Stegostoma tigrinum: one gene and its partner. Each later gene encodes a partner of the first gene's protein in a complex. Links are inferred from orthologs where the notes say so. Each region holds a gene or a part of one and is shown in the gene's direction. Other genes may lie near its edges.

Evidence for each region.
Region 2: the proteins of mast/stem cell growth factor receptor Kit-like (region 1) and suppressor of cytokine signaling 6 are in contact, whole or in part, in a crystal structure (PDB 2VIF), measured with the Homo sapiens proteins. The link is inferred for Stegostoma tigrinum from reciprocal best matches to the Homo sapiens genes KIT and SOCS6. Residues at the interface, in NP_000213.1 of Homo sapiens: Asn566, Asn567, Tyr568, Val569, Tyr570, Ile571, Asp572, Pro573, Thr574; in NP_004223.2 of Homo sapiens: Arg391, Glu395, Arg409, Asp410, Ser411, Ser412, Asp413, Ser419, Phe422, Thr428, Leu429, His430, Thr431, Arg432, Phe442, Tyr443, Glu444, Gln445, Val448, His460, Asp464, Ala469, Phe470, Cys471, Tyr472, Ser473, Arg474, Ser475, Arg476, Thr482.

The regions. Positions count from the first base shown.
Region 1 is NC_081354.1:108,016,879-108,024,631, forward strand, and holds the start of mast/stem cell growth factor receptor Kit-like, read left to right. Parts: upstream 1-4,608; 5' UTR 4,609-4,670; coding exon 4,671-4,722; intron 4,723-7,753. UniProt on the Homo sapiens protein: Tyrosine-protein kinase that acts as a cell-surface receptor for the cytokine KITLG/SCF and plays an essential role in the regulation of cell survival and proliferation, hematopoiesis, stem cell maintenance, gametogenesis, mast cell development, migration and function, and in melanogenesis.
Region 2 is NC_081358.1:55,565,026-55,572,351, forward strand, and holds the start of suppressor of cytokine signaling 6, read left to right. Parts: upstream 1-4,304; 5' UTR 4,305-4,390; intron 4,391-7,326. UniProt on the Homo sapiens protein: SOCS family proteins form part of a classical negative feedback system that regulates cytokine signal transduction.

The DNA.
Region 1 (7,753 bases):
ACCCCTTTTGTATATCCTGTTTTAGATTATGCACAATGGGTATAATTTAGTGTCACTGATACTTATCCCGCCTACTGATTGGAGAAGTGATAGGAAAGCCACATTACTTCTGTTGGGAGGCACAACTGAATGTCACTTAACTGGTGGGTGTCAGGATTTCCCTGGCATTCAGGATTCTGAGGATGGAAATCCCGCCTGCTGAGAGCTGCTGGTCAATAGAGAGCAGCAGTTTTCATTGTCAGCAGTATTGCTGATGCCTGCTGCACTACAAGAACTGTTGCAGTGGATCCCTGCACTCAAGCGCCTGAAAGTGGAATAGAGCTTGCAGAAAATAAACTGTGGGAAGGACAAGGTGGTTCGCTTTCATTCACTATCCCTGTTTTCAGTGCTGAGTCACTCAATCGGACTGATAAATGCTTTTGGAAGATGGATCACCTACAGAAAGCAACAAACAAACCCAAGAATCCCTGAATCATCATTTGAAGTTTTGGACAAAGTCAAAGTCTAATGTTTTGTTTATTTACTTGATATGCAACTGTACACAACCAAAATGCTTTTGTGACAATGTGTATATACAAAGAGATTTCTTACAAATAAAGTACATTTTTGAAATTTAAGAAAAAAAATTCTGGTTGGCTCAGGGATAAAATGTGCCTCTTGGCTTTAATAATAAGCCTAATGCAATGACATCCCAATGAAAGTGGTCAAGATTCCAGGCACGGCAATGTAACTGACTCTTAACTTGTCCTCTGGGTAATTGGGGATGAGAAATAACTGTTGGCCTAGCCAGCAACGTTCATATCTCATGAGCAACTTTTTGTTAAAAACTTGTCTATGGGCACCTTCCTGCCTCCAAAGTAATAATAGGAGTGTCTCCGACTCCAAGAAATGGACTTGAACATTCTTCCATGATTAAATGGGCCCTGTGGCCATGTTTCTTGTCATATTGGCCTGGGTTTAATCCAGTCCAATGTCTTTTCGCTGTACTTAATACACAGTCAAACTTATTGCTATTTACTGACCCCACCAAATTTTGTGTGTTCCTCTCTACATGTGCATTGGCTCAAAATAGCTTCAACAATATTGATGTGAACTATAGTAACTAGTTTAATCATCAGTGTCTTGTCTAATAATTATCTCTCAATCAACATCATTAAAAAGTGAGATTATCTGGTCATTATCATATATTTTCATGTGGGCCTTTGGTATGTGCAAAGAGGTTTCTGCAGTTCCTATGTGAGAACATAAGAGACAGGAGCAGGAGTAGGCCATCTGGCCCTTTCAGCCTGCTCCACCATTCAATAAGATCTTGGCTGATCTTTTCATGGCCTCAGTTCCACTTACCCACCCTCTCACCATAACCCTTAATTCCTTCAAAAAATATCTATCTTAGATTTAAAAACATTAAATGAGGAAGCCTCAACTGCTTCACTGAGCAGGGAATTCCACAGATTCACAACTGTTTGGGAGAAGGAGTTCCTTCTCAGTTCAGTCCTAAATTTGCTCCCCCTAATTCTGAGGTTATGACAGCTTGATCTGGTTTCATCCACAAGTGGAAATAACCTCCCTGATTCTATCTTTTCTATTCCCTTCATGATTTTACATGTTTCTTTAAGATACGCCCCCCATTCTTCTAAATTTCAATGAATATAACCCCAGTCTACTTGGCCTCTCCTCATAAGCCAACACTCTCAACTCCAGAATCAACCTAGTGAATCTCCTCTGCACCCCCTCCAGTGCCAGTGCATCATTTTACAAGTAAGCAGACCAAAACTGTACACAGTACCCCAGGTGTGGCCTCACTAGCACCCTATACAGTTACAACAAAACTTCCCTGCTTTTAAACCTCATCCCTCGAGCAATGAAGGACAAAATTCCATTTGTCTTCTTAATTACCTGTTGTACCTGCCAACCAACATTCCGCGATTCATGCACCAGGATATCCAAGTCCCTGTGCACAGCAGCATGCTGCAATTTTTTACCATTTAAATAATAGTCCTTTTTATTGTTATTCCCACCAAAATGAATGACTTCACATTTATCAGCATTGTACCCCTGCCAGACCTTTCCCCACTCACGTAAACTGTCTATATGCCTCTGCAAACTTTCAGAGTCTTCTGCACACTCCAGTGTCATAGAATCATAGAATCCCTACACAGTGGAAGCAGGCCATTTGGCCCATCGTGTCCATGCTAACCCCCGGAGACCTTTCCACCCAAACCCACCCCATCCTTGTGATCCTGCATTTCCTGTGATTAATCTGCTTAACCAACACATCCCTGAACACTGTGGGCAATTTAGCATAGCCAATCCATCTAACCTGCACATCCTTGGGCTGTGGGAGGAATCCGGAGCACCTGGAGGAACCCATGCTAATCCAGGGAGAATGTACAAACTCCACACAGACAGTTGCCGAAGGGTGTAATCAAACCTAGGTCCCTAGCTCCATGGGGCAGCAGTGCTAACCACTGAGCCACCGTACCAGCCCAAGCCGCCTGTAGTATGAGTGTGACTAAATTTCAAGTGTTTTGGCCTGTAAACCACACCTGGAGTATTGTGCGCAGTTTTGGCCTCCCTACCTGATTCAGAGTATCTGAATATGCGCTGTTCACCCTCCCAACCAACTTTGTGTCATCTGCAAACTTGGAGGGATTACATTTAGAAGAACATAAGAACTAGGAGCAGGAGTAGGCCATCCGGCCCTTCGAGCCTGCTCCACTATTCAATAAGATCATGGATGATCATTTTGCACACTCAGATCCACTTACCCGCATTCTCACTGTATCTCTTAATTCCTTTATTGTTCAAAAACAATCTACCTTAGCTTTAAAAATGTTTACTGAAGTAACGCCAACTACTACACTGGGCAAGGAATTTCATTGATTAACAACCCTCTGGGTGAAGAAGTTCCGTCTCAATTCAGTCCTAAATCTGCTCTCTCTAATCTTGAGGCTATGCCCTCTTGTCCAAGGTTCACCTGCCAGTGGAAACATCCTCCCTACGTCCATCTTATCTATTCCCTTCATAATTTTATATGTTTTTATAAGAACCCCCTCAATCTTCTGAATTCCAATGAATATAATCCCAATCTAATCAGTCTCTCCTCATAAACCAACCCCCTCAACTCTGGAATCAACCTAGTGAACCTCCTCTGCACCCCCTTCAGTGCCAGTACATCCTTTCTCAAGTAAGGAAATCAAATCTGCACGCAGTACTCCAGGTGTGGCCTCACCAGCACCTTGTACAGCTGCAACATAACCTCTCTGCTTTTAAACTCAATCCCTTTAGCAATGAAGGACAAAATTCCATTTGCCTTCCTAATCACTTGTTGTACCTGCAGACCAACCTTCTGTGATTCATGCACAAGGACACCCAGGTCCCTCTGCATAGCAGCATGCTGCAACTTTTTACCATTCAAGTAATAATCCCTTTCACTATTATGCTACCAAAATGTATGACTTCACATTTATTTACATTGTATTCCATCTGCCAGACCTTTGCCCACTCATTCAATGTATCTGTGTTCCTCTGCAAAGTTTCACAGTCCTCTGCACGCTTTGCTCTGCCACGCATCTTAATGTCATCTGCAAACTTTGACACCCTACATGTGGCCCCCAACTCCAAATCATAAAATGCTCTCAACTAAGTCATGAACATATATTGTGAATTAGAGGTCAAGCACTATTTCCCGCAGTGGGCTATTAGTCACCGCATGCTTCATCAAAAAGAACAGTTTATTTCTTCACTTTATTCCAGCTAGCTCTCTGTCCATGGCATTATACTACCCCAGTCTCATATGCTTTAGGTTTACATGCTTGTCTCTTACGTGGAACTGTCTTGGAAGCCTTTTGAAAATTTCCTGAGATAACCAGACAAACTATTCACAATATCCTCATGCCTTTAGTTTTACACTTAACTCTATGATTAAACTGTGGGTGAACTGCTGTAATGTTGCCTTACGTGGCTTGGTATCTAGTTACTTTTTAATGGTTAGATGCTGGAATCCAAGGTAGACAGACCTGATGCTGGAAGAACACGGCAAGCCAGGCAGCATTTGAAGGGAGAAGTCAATGTTTTCGATTATTACCCTTCTTCAGGACTGTGCTTCTGTGAAGATTCGGGACCTGTTAGAATGCTTAGGAGGTTAAACAAGTTGCGTCCGCAGTTCTCTCGGTTTTTATTAAGTTGCTTCTCCTGTTGGAGAAATGACGAACTCTGAATGTTGACTCGGGTTCAGGATGTAGAGTAAAATGGGCAGAAGCTTCACTCTGGGGGATTGTATTGGGAGGTTGAGAGATTCAGAAGGAATGATAATCACTTGAGGTGGTGCCAATTTCCGTGATGAAAGGGACAGGAACAAGAAGCCAATAATGCAGGTAAATGCCTTGGGAATATTCTTTACTCAAGAATTCATTATGTTAGTTTCGGGTAACTTTATGAGATTATTAACGCCTATCTGACGGTTATGCAAATAAATCCACAACAACAAAGCAACAGTGTCAAACGAACGAGCAACGAAACGCGTTGCTCCAGTCAGGCTGAGGAGCGAGGGGGAAGCGCGTCAGCGGGAGCTGTGTGTAAAACTGGTGCGAGGGGAGGCAGGCGGCATTGGGACTGATTAAACTCAGAGCGGAACAGGCAGCTCATCACTCAGTGTGTTCCCGCTGCCAATGGCTCAGCGCTGGCTTGCTGCTCTCCTGCTTATTCTGACTGCTCATCAAGGTAAAAGGCTGCTTCTCACTTACGGAATGATTGGTCTGTTTAATTCGCTCACCTTCACATTGTCTATGAGGGAAAGCCCGGTTTGAACTGTGGAGCGATGGAAGAGAAACGAAGGAGGGAATGTCTGGATGAATGAACCTTCACATACCGATTATATTCGCCCGGAGGTTCGATCTTTCAGACCGTCCCCAGTTAACAGGGTTACAAGTGCTTTTGACATTTGAACAAACGTGTTGCAGCTGCATTTAGATTTAGGGAGATGTTATAAAAAAGACTCGGAAGTTGGATTTTTCTTCCACTAGTTTGAGAATATCTGAACACATTCAAACCTAATGTCTCCGTTTTCCTCTCTTTCAATGATAATTAGATTCGATTCCCTACGGTGTGGAAACAGGCCCTTCGGCCCAACAAGTTCACACCGCCCCTTTAAGTATCCCACCCAGACCCATCCCCCTATAACCCACACACCCCTGAACAGTACGGGCAATTTAGCATGGCCAATCCACCTAATCTGAACATGTTTGAACTGTGGAGGAAACCCGCGCACCTGGAGCAAACCCACGCAGACACAGGGAGAATGTGCAAACGCCGCACAGACAGTCGCCCGAGTCTGGAATTGAACCCGGGTCCTTGGCGCTGTGAGGCTGCAGTGCTAACCAGTGATAATCCCGACCTCTGACTATTTGTATTCCTGCCTCTCTCTGCTCAGATCCTCAGGTTCACTTTCCCGCGAGTGCTGTGTATTCTAGGTGGAAGGACATTATTTTTGTGAGACAGATGCACAGAGAAGGGACTGGGAAAGTGTGTTTTTGTTACGTACCTCTGCTGAGACCGCGGTAGCAGGGAGAATTGCTTGTCTCGGAGTAAGGAAGTTACAGAAGTGCATAGGACACCCCAGGCAAACTGAGAAAGGAACAACTAACACCCAGGCCAAAGCAACTTCAATGAACGGATTAACAGCAAGGCAGAAATGGAGGGAAGCTTTTAACGCTGATGGGGTCCTCTGTTTGAATTTTACTGTCTTTTTCATATTCAAAGGGTCAGAAATCACACGACACTGAGTTAGAATTGGACTATAATCTGGTGTGTGATTTCTGACCTTGTCCACCCCAGTCCAACATCATATACAAGTGGGTCAGTGGAGGGAGTCGCGGACCAAACGTGGGATGCAACAGAGATAACGGGAACTGCAGGCGCTGGAGAATCTGAGATAACACGGTGTGAAGCTGGATGAACACATCGGGCCAAGCAGCATCACAGGGGCAGGAAGGCATGAGTTTTCGGGTCGGGACCCTTCTTCTGCGTTCATCCAGCTTCACACCGTGATGTTTTAGCAACGATTGTTTGCATCCTGTCCGAGCGGTAAATCCCGTTGGATTGAAGTTTTCGGCTGTGAGAGTGAAGCTCCCTCCGCCAGCTCTTACACTGAGCCGTTCTGTCTGTTGCACCGATAACGTCTTACGCCAGAGCAGTCAGGCTAGAAGTTTGCCTGGCGCCAGCCCCAAACCTGGTGGAAGTCAGGGGTATAGATAATGAAGGGGTGTTACTGAGAGCTCTGTATTGATTTGGGTACAATGTATTGTTGTATTGTTCTTACTGGTGTCTATACCCTTTTCAACTCATCTTTATCTCTCTGTATCATTGCATCCTGCTACTTCTCTCTACAAAGTCTCTCTCAGGCTTCACCATAAGTGTATCTATGTTGCCCTTCAGAATAATTTTTCTAATTTCCGATCGCGGGACCTGGGCGTCACTGGTTGGGCCAATGTTTGTTGTTCATCCCTGATTGCCCTGGAGAAGGTAGCGGTGAGCTGCCCTCTGGAACTGCTGTCGGCAATACCTACGGCGTCGTTAGTAAGGGAGTGCCAGGAGTTTGCCCCGACGACACTGAGGGAACAGTGACACATTCCCAAACTGGGATCATATGTGGCTTGGAGAGAAACTTCCAGACAGTAGGATTCCCACGCCCACATTCTTGGGACTGGGGTGGAGGTTTCAGATTTGCAAGGTGCTGTCGAAGGAGCCTGCATGAGAACCTGCAGTGAATCTTGTAGCTGATACTCATCCCCACCCCCCAAATTGTGCACTTCTTAAAATGTTTGGCGGTGAGTATGTATATTACGTAGTGACCTGGATTTCCTGATGGCTATACAGTCATTATTCCCAGGCAGATTGGAGTTGCATCTGGGAAACTTCCGGAATCCCGATAATAGCAGATCCCGAAGGAATGGCCCGGAAATTGAATTTTCCGTTGGGTCATACCTCTACACCAGGACCCATCCGAGATTCTCAGTTTAAATCGGAGACTTTGAAGGGTTCAGACGAAATTAAGTAAAATAACTGTTCAGGAAAGGTTAGACTATTAAGTATAGTTGAACTCCTGAGTGACATTCGAGAAAATCCGATCCTTAGCTCAGACACCACAACTACACTTTCCCCCGACCCGTTGAGTCCAAATCCCCCAGCCGCCCTACAGCAGCCAGGCCTGACCCACCTTCCGTGCTCCCCCCACCCACATGTCGTAGGATCTGAACTCACCCCACAACCCCCACTCCCTAAAACCCAGGCGCTGTTAAACCCTCCCCTCCCCATGACCACGGCTGGACCCTGATCTCTGCCCTCCCCACCACCACCACCAGACCGAAGCCCGAGTGACCCTGTCACAGTCACCATCAGACCTCGGCCTGATCCCACAACCAGCCTCTGAACCCATTCCCCATACCCGCTGCTGCATACTGTCGGGCTTGAACCCGGTCGGCTTGCCCCTGTGAGACACTTCCCCTCCTCTTCCACTGACTGTGGAGCCATAACCAAGCTAAAGCCGTCATCCATCCTCTCAGAAATGCAGAGTTCCCTTCTTTCTTGCACTGAGAGATTACCACTCCTTGGAAAGTCCAGTCCATCACTTCATAATCTTTCAGTGTTTTCTGCTGACTAGACTTTTCAGCTATTTTAACCAATCCACAGGCGGCGTCTATGGGCGAAATGGAAACAGAGTTCACGCTTCAGGTTAAGAGATAATGGGAACTGC
Region 2 (7,326 bases), on another chromosome or scaffold:
TGACCTCAGTCGTGGGTTGTTGGGGGGCATTCTGAAAGTTAGGATTTACATGCATTTGGAAAGGTAGGGACTGATTAGGGATAGTCAGCAAGGCTTCATGCTAGGGAAATGTTTCTCACAAATTTGATTGAGTTTTTTGAGGACTTAACCTAAAAGATTGATGACTGAAGAGCATTAGATGTTGTTTACAGAGATTTGCCTTTGACAAAGTTCCACATAGTAGACTGATCAGTAGAGTTAGATTACATGGGATTCAGAGATAATGGGAACTGCAGATGCTGGAGAATCTACTATCCGACTCCACCACCCAAGACATTTTTCCATCCCCACCCTTGCCTGCCTTCCGGAGAGACTACTCTCTCCGTGACTCCCTTGTTCGCTCCACACTACCCTCCAACCCCAGCACACATGGCACCTTCCCCTGCAACCGCAGGAAGTGCTACACTTGTGCCCACACCTCCTCCCTCACCCCCATCCCAAGCCCCAAGATGATTTTCCATATTAAGCAGAGGTTCACCTGCACATCTGCCAATGTGGTATATTGTATCCACGATACCCATTGTGGCTTCCTCGACATTGGGGAAACCAAGCGGAGGCTTGAGGACCGCTTCGCAGAACACCTCCATTCGGTTCACAATAAACAACTGCACCTCCCAGTCACGACCATTTTAACTCCCCCTCCCATTCTTTCGACGACATGTCCATCAAGGGCCTCCTGCAGTGCCACAATGATGCCACCTGAAGATTGCAGGAACAGCAACTCATATTGTGCTTGAAACTCTGCAGCCCAACGGTATCAATGTGGACTTCACAAGCTTCAAAATCTCCCCTTCCCCCACCGCATCCCAAAACCAGCCCAGTTCGTCCCCTCCCCCCACTGCATCCCAAAACCAGCCCAGCCTGTCTCTGCCTCCCTAACCTGTTCTTCCTCTCACCCATCCCTTCCTCCCACCTCAAGCCACACCTCCATTTCCTACCTACTAACCTCATCCCACCTCCTTGATCTGTCTGTCGTCCCTGGACTGACCGCTCCCCTCCTTACCTTCCCACCTATACTTTCCTCTCCACCTATCTTCTTTCCTCTCCATCTTCAGTCCGCCTCCCGCTCTCCCTATTTATTCCAGAACCCTCTCCCCATCCCCCTCTCTGATGAAGGGTCTAGGCCCGAAATGTCAGCTTTTGTGCTCCTGAGATGCTGCTTGGCCTGCTGTATTCATCCAGCTTCACACTTTGTTATCTTACGTGGGATTCAGTCTGTTCTTGATAAATAGTAGGTAAAATAACATAAATAAATTATCACCATTTCATAAAATAAAAAATGATATTTCTACAAATTTTGTCTTTGAAACCCTTTTGAAATGAGGTTTTCAAATAAATGCAATTTTATTCAAAAATGCAATTCATTTTTCTACAAAAATAATTATATGCCTGATAGTGTAAAGCTTAATCATTGTGCATCGGACGTGGCTAACACTGCTTTTGTCATATTCATCGTTAATCTCCTGTTACTGACAAAGATAGGGACGATCTATTGTGTTGTACTGCTGCACAAACTCAAAATATGCAGGAAGAGACAATCTTTGATCATCAGTCTAGGTGTCATGATATTTCAAAATGGATTACAAGTGTAGTGAGAAATAAACTGACGTATTAGCAATATCAGTTATTCATCTCTCGAAGCAAAGAAGGTGAAGCTCACCATCTGGGAGCTTGTAGGGCTCCATTGGGTATGCAGGTGACTAACAAGGCTCATCTGCACTCAATCTACTCCAGCAAATGCATAGGATCACACAAACAATTGTGTGTCGGACCATCTGCTGATTCAGGATTTTCCATTAATCATACAATCCTTACAGTGGAAACCAGCCATTCAGCCCAAAAAGTCCACACCGACTCTCCAACAGCACCACACCCAGACCCACAGCTCTACTCTAGACCTGTAATTCCACCTAACCTAAGAATCCCTGAACAACATGAGTAATTTAAGACAGCCCATCCACCTAAACTGCACATCTTTGAACTTTGGGAGGAAACCGGAGCACCCAGAGGGAATACAGCAGACTTGGGGAGAAATGTGCAAACTCCACACAGACACTCACCTGCAGGTGAATTTGAATCCAGGTCCCTGGTGTTATGAGCAGTATTGCTAAACCACTGAGCCATCGTGCCACCCATCATTGAATCTTCTTTCAGATTCTGATTTGCACTCACATTTAAACAAGACCTCAGCCTTTTTCATTTGGCCATCCTGTGCAAGTTCTTTTTATGCTTGGAATTTAAGCAAAGCCTGCACAGTAAGATCAATAAGAAAGAGCAGGATGGGCCAGGAACACCAGTGAGATTGAAAAATAAATTAGCAACAGAGAAGAAAAACCTGTACTTGCACAATATATTTCACGATGTTACACATTCAACAGATGTATTAACCAAATGAGTTTTAAAGTTCAGTTGCTACTGTTAAAGGGGAATGCTGGTGGCTCAGTTGGCTATAAGGTAAGCGTTTGGTTCAATATTCAAACACTCTGTTTCCACTAATTTATCACCAACAGAGTGTTGAAGATTTGTGGCCCTGTGTGAGAAAAATTTCACATTAGTAACTGAGGGACAATAAACTTGATGACAGAGGGATCAGAAATATGGGGAGACATGGATAGATCAGGAACAAAATGTCAGAAGGATGGATCAGGAAGAAGGCAAGGGAGGGATAGATGGGAAACAAGGTAAGAGAGGGATGGATCATAAACAGTGGTAAAAAGGGACTGATACAGAAAAGAGGGAGACAGATCAGGAACAGAGAATCAGTAAGAGAAATCAGTGAATAGGATAGAGATCAGGGAAGAGGGAATGAAATTGATCAGCAACAAAGAGAGGGATAGAGAGATCAGTGACAGAGATTGACCAGTTAGAGGTAGCACAAAAGCAGTCACAGAGAAAGTGGTCAGTAGAGGGAGGGAGATAGGTTAAGGGTTAGTGGTGGGGTTGGACAGTTTAGTGACGGGCAGAATGAGATCAATAGGAGGAAGAGAGAACTCACTGAAATGGAGACAGTGCGAGATCAGTGAAAGGGGGTTGTGAGAGAGGGAAAACACATCAGCATGGTGTGAGAAAGAGAGAGATTTATTAAAGGGAAAGTGGGATAGTGACACGGAGAGAGGGATCAGTAAGAGGGAGGGGGAGGGGGAGGGTGAATAAGAGAGAGGAGAAACGAGTACGGTAGAGACGGGACAGCAATCAGCGGGAGATGGAGATGAGTAAAATGGAGGAGATACACAAGAGATCAGTGAGGGATTAAGAAACTGAGAGAGAAATCAGTGAGGTCAGTGAGAGAGACCAGGAGAGAGAGGGTTCATTTAAAGGTAAAGGCGGGGGAAGATCAGTCAAAGGGAGGGAGGAAGTGACGAGTAAGAATGTCATCACTAGGAACAGAGTTCACGTTTAAGAAGAGTTCAGTAGCAAGGATAAGAGAGGGAGAGAGAGATATCAAAATCACATAGATCAGTAAGATAATTGGAGAAATCTGTAGTTAGTGCAGAAAAATCAAATAGTGGAATATAGGGTTCAGTTAAAAAGACATCAGAAAGAGACAGAAACATACAAGATAGGAGTAAGAGTAGGCCAATCAGCCCCGTGTGCCTGTTCTGCCATTCAACTGTTCACAGCTGATCATCGAACACTGAACTCTGATATTGATTTCTTTCCTTATCTTTGATCCCTATAGCCAGAAGAACTATATCTAACTCCTTGAAAACATTAAATGTTATGGTCTCAACTGCTTTGTGTGGCAGGATCACTATTTGTCGGTTGAGATCAGTGAAGAGAAAGACATCAGTTGGAAAGGGAGAGTTCATTCAGAGGGACACTGCTAAAAAGAGATCAGTTAGAGAAATAAAGACTAGTAAGAGAAATCAACAAGACAAGATCAGTTACAGTGGAGAGATCAGTTACAGAGAGATCAGTAAGAAAGGAATCAGTTGGTGAGAGAGATCAGGAAGAGTCAGTTATACAGAGGTAGCGATCATAAGGGGAGATCAGTAAGACAGATCAATAAGACAGAACAGTTTAAGGTGAGGGAGATCCGTGAGAGATCAGTAAGAAGGAGATCAATTGATGAGAGAGATCAGTTGGAGAGTGTATGGCAAGATTCGGAAAGTGATCACTGAGTGATCAGTGGTTGGGCAATCATTTGGGATCTCAGTGAGCGGTCGATCTCTGAGTGGAGGCGGGAGGATCCTCCCTCAGTGACCGGGGCGGGGAGCAGGCGGCTGGAGTGTGAGTCCCTCCCCCCGCCCGCTCTTTCTCTCCCTCCCTCCCGCCCCTCGGGGCTCGGGCCGGCCGGCAGGCGCTGATGGCATGAAGGTTGCGGTGGAGCCTCGGCGGACTGCAACTAGAGGTAAGGTAGCCGTGGCGGCGTGGAGGTAACAGGAAAGGACGAGGCTGGTGGTGGGGCCTACAGTCGTTGCGGCGTGGCCTGACCTGAGCTTCCGCGGAGAGCCGGCGGTCACTCCAACCGCAGGGCCTTGGAAGGTTCTGGGTGGTTCCAGAAACTTCCGGGAGGGCAGGCGCACGGTCGCTCCCGCTGGCAGGCCTGGGGTTCACGACTCTCCTCCACCTCGGGACAAAACCCAACCCAAGGCCCGACACAAGGCCCGGGGATACAAGTTGTGAAAGCGTCTCCTCCCCCGGGTGGAGTCTCCCTGAGTCAGGCTGGCCCTTCTACCCCCACCTTCACCTCCCTCTTTGTATGGGCGAGAACTTGTGGAAACTCTTTCCTCTCTAAATACCTTCGATTATGAAATGCGGAGTCTCGTCAAATCGGAGCTTCCTCTTCTGCCCCCTCCCCCCGCAATTTTTCGTGTTTATTCCGCCCCCATCGTCTTCCTCGTAATGCCCCCCACCAATCTTCTATAACCTTCACCCAACTCCCATCTTCCATAAACCTTATCCCCACTCCTCAAATTTTCTGCAACCTCCAAACCTTCCATAAAACTCTTTTATTCCTAGTATTTCAGTACTCACCATTCCATCCTCCACAAATCTCCCCCAAAATGTTGGACAAACGTGGTAAGACAGATTCCCCCTTTTAATATCTCTGTGATAAACAGGAATGTGTATTCCAACCCCATTCAGTCTGAACTACATTTGGCTTAGGGCTTTCCATTCCCATTGACTTTTATTCCCTTTAAAAGGTAATTTGGGGTTCAGTGATATAGTACAACTGCTTTTCTATAGCAAGAAAGTCTTTCTGAAGATATCTTTAAACTGAAAGCATCATAGAGTTGTGCAGTATGGAAACAGACCCTTTGGTCCAACTCGCCTGCACCAACCAGATATTCTAAACTGATGTAGTCCCATTGCCAGCATTTGCCCCATATCCCTCGTATTCATATACCCATTGAGATGCCTTAAATTTTGGAATTGTATTTACTTTCACCGTTTCTCTGGCATAACAAAGTGTACAGCTGGATGAAAACCACAGGCCAAGCAGCAGCATATGAGCAGGAAGGCTGACGGTCAGCCTTCCTGCTGATATAATGCTGCTTGGCCTGCTGTGTTCATCCAGTTCAATGCCTTGTTATCTCGGATTCTCCAACATCTGCAGTTCCTACTGGCTGTGATACCATTTCTGTGGCAGCTTGTTTGATACACGCATCACCATCTGAATGAAGAATTGCCCTTCGGGTTCTTTTAAATCTTTCCCCTCTCAACTTAAGCCTGTGCCCTCTAGTTTTGGACTCCCCTACCCTGGAAAAAAGACCTTGGCTATTTGCCCTATCCATGCCTCTTATGATTTCATAAACTTTTAAAAGGTCACCTGTCAGCCTCGGGGGTGGGAGGTGGGGAATGCCCCAGTCTATTTGGCCTCTTCCTATAGCTCAAACCCTCCGATGAAGAAGGGTCTAGGCCTGAAACATCAGTCTTCCTGCCCCTCTGATGCTGCTTGGCCTGCTGTGTTCATCCAGCTCTACACCTTGTTATCTCAGATTTTCCAGCATCTGCAGTTCCTACTACCCCTCCAATGTCTGGTTCTTTACTCTCTCCCTTTATGAAATGGAACTTGAACAGTTGAACAAAATCCAATTTAGACTGTCCTCCTGTATTCCTGAAAGCTATCTGTCTGATTCGGTATCTGTTTCATCCACCAGTTTTTGTGCTTCGTTTATGTTTGGAGGCACTTTCCAGAGCACTGTTTAACAAAAAAGCTTTTGAAAATTGTTGCAATTATTCTTCTTTAAATATTGTGTCTCCCTCCACCCTATCGCCCGCCCAGGTGCTGTGACTCAGATCATAAATCTGTTGCAATGTACCTGCCAAACTGGGCCTGACGAAGTTTTACAGTCAGAGTTGTCTCTGCTTGTTTCTGCTCTAATAATGAGCAAATAGTGAGACCTTATTAGTTGGAGAAAGTTTTGGTGAATTTTATTTTCTATCTACATATCATTTTTAAGCAAATTCAACTTTAGCAATGCAAGTTTATTTTTGTTAATAGCTTTCTTTTGAAATTATTGTAATGCATTTTGGGCCATTCTTAGGTTCATGATGGAATAATTGCTGAACTAAGAGTGAAATATGTTTTGATAGAAGAGAGGAATTCAGATAGACACCTAGTAATGTGTCTGGACATAGTGCTTTCAGAATTGCTTTTTCGCAATTTAGAAATTGGGTCTCTGAAAACTATTGTATTTACAACAATTATTATGTAGTTTATAAAAGTCCGCTGGTGTTCAGTGAAATAATGTTTATTGATGTTTATTTAGACCGTACAGTTTAGGGTGTACATCTGGACTCAGTTTTGCTCAAGATTATAGTCTTTTAAAACAGATAAATGGGTGCGTCTTTTTAAAATACTGAATGCTTAATAAACTTGTGATTGGCCTAATTAGATTAAAAGCAAATTAGTGTAATATGTAGGAGAAATCCTGATCATTTTTGGTTTGCAGCTTCTCTTAATCGTCGATGGCTACAGGAGATTCTGCAATTCTTTAGTCTCAATGCATATAAACTGTATAAGTACTTAAAGGAAAACTTTTAAAACAAATTTCTGCTCCCAGAGCTAATTGCCCCAGATTGAGATATGCATGCAAATAGAAACTGAATACATCGTAAATCATTTTGGCTTTTGCAGTTTGCATGTGGCTAATAGCTTTAGTTTTAGCACATGACCAAAGGGTTAATTTGTAGTTTAGCATCTATAGTCACTTTTTCATATTGATACAGTTTTCATTTTTATTTGCTGGATCCACTCTTGTCATTTAACAATGAAATTCCACTCCCTTATCCTGGCTGTCGAGTCATAAATCCATATTTCTTGGGCTGTCTAATTTTGCT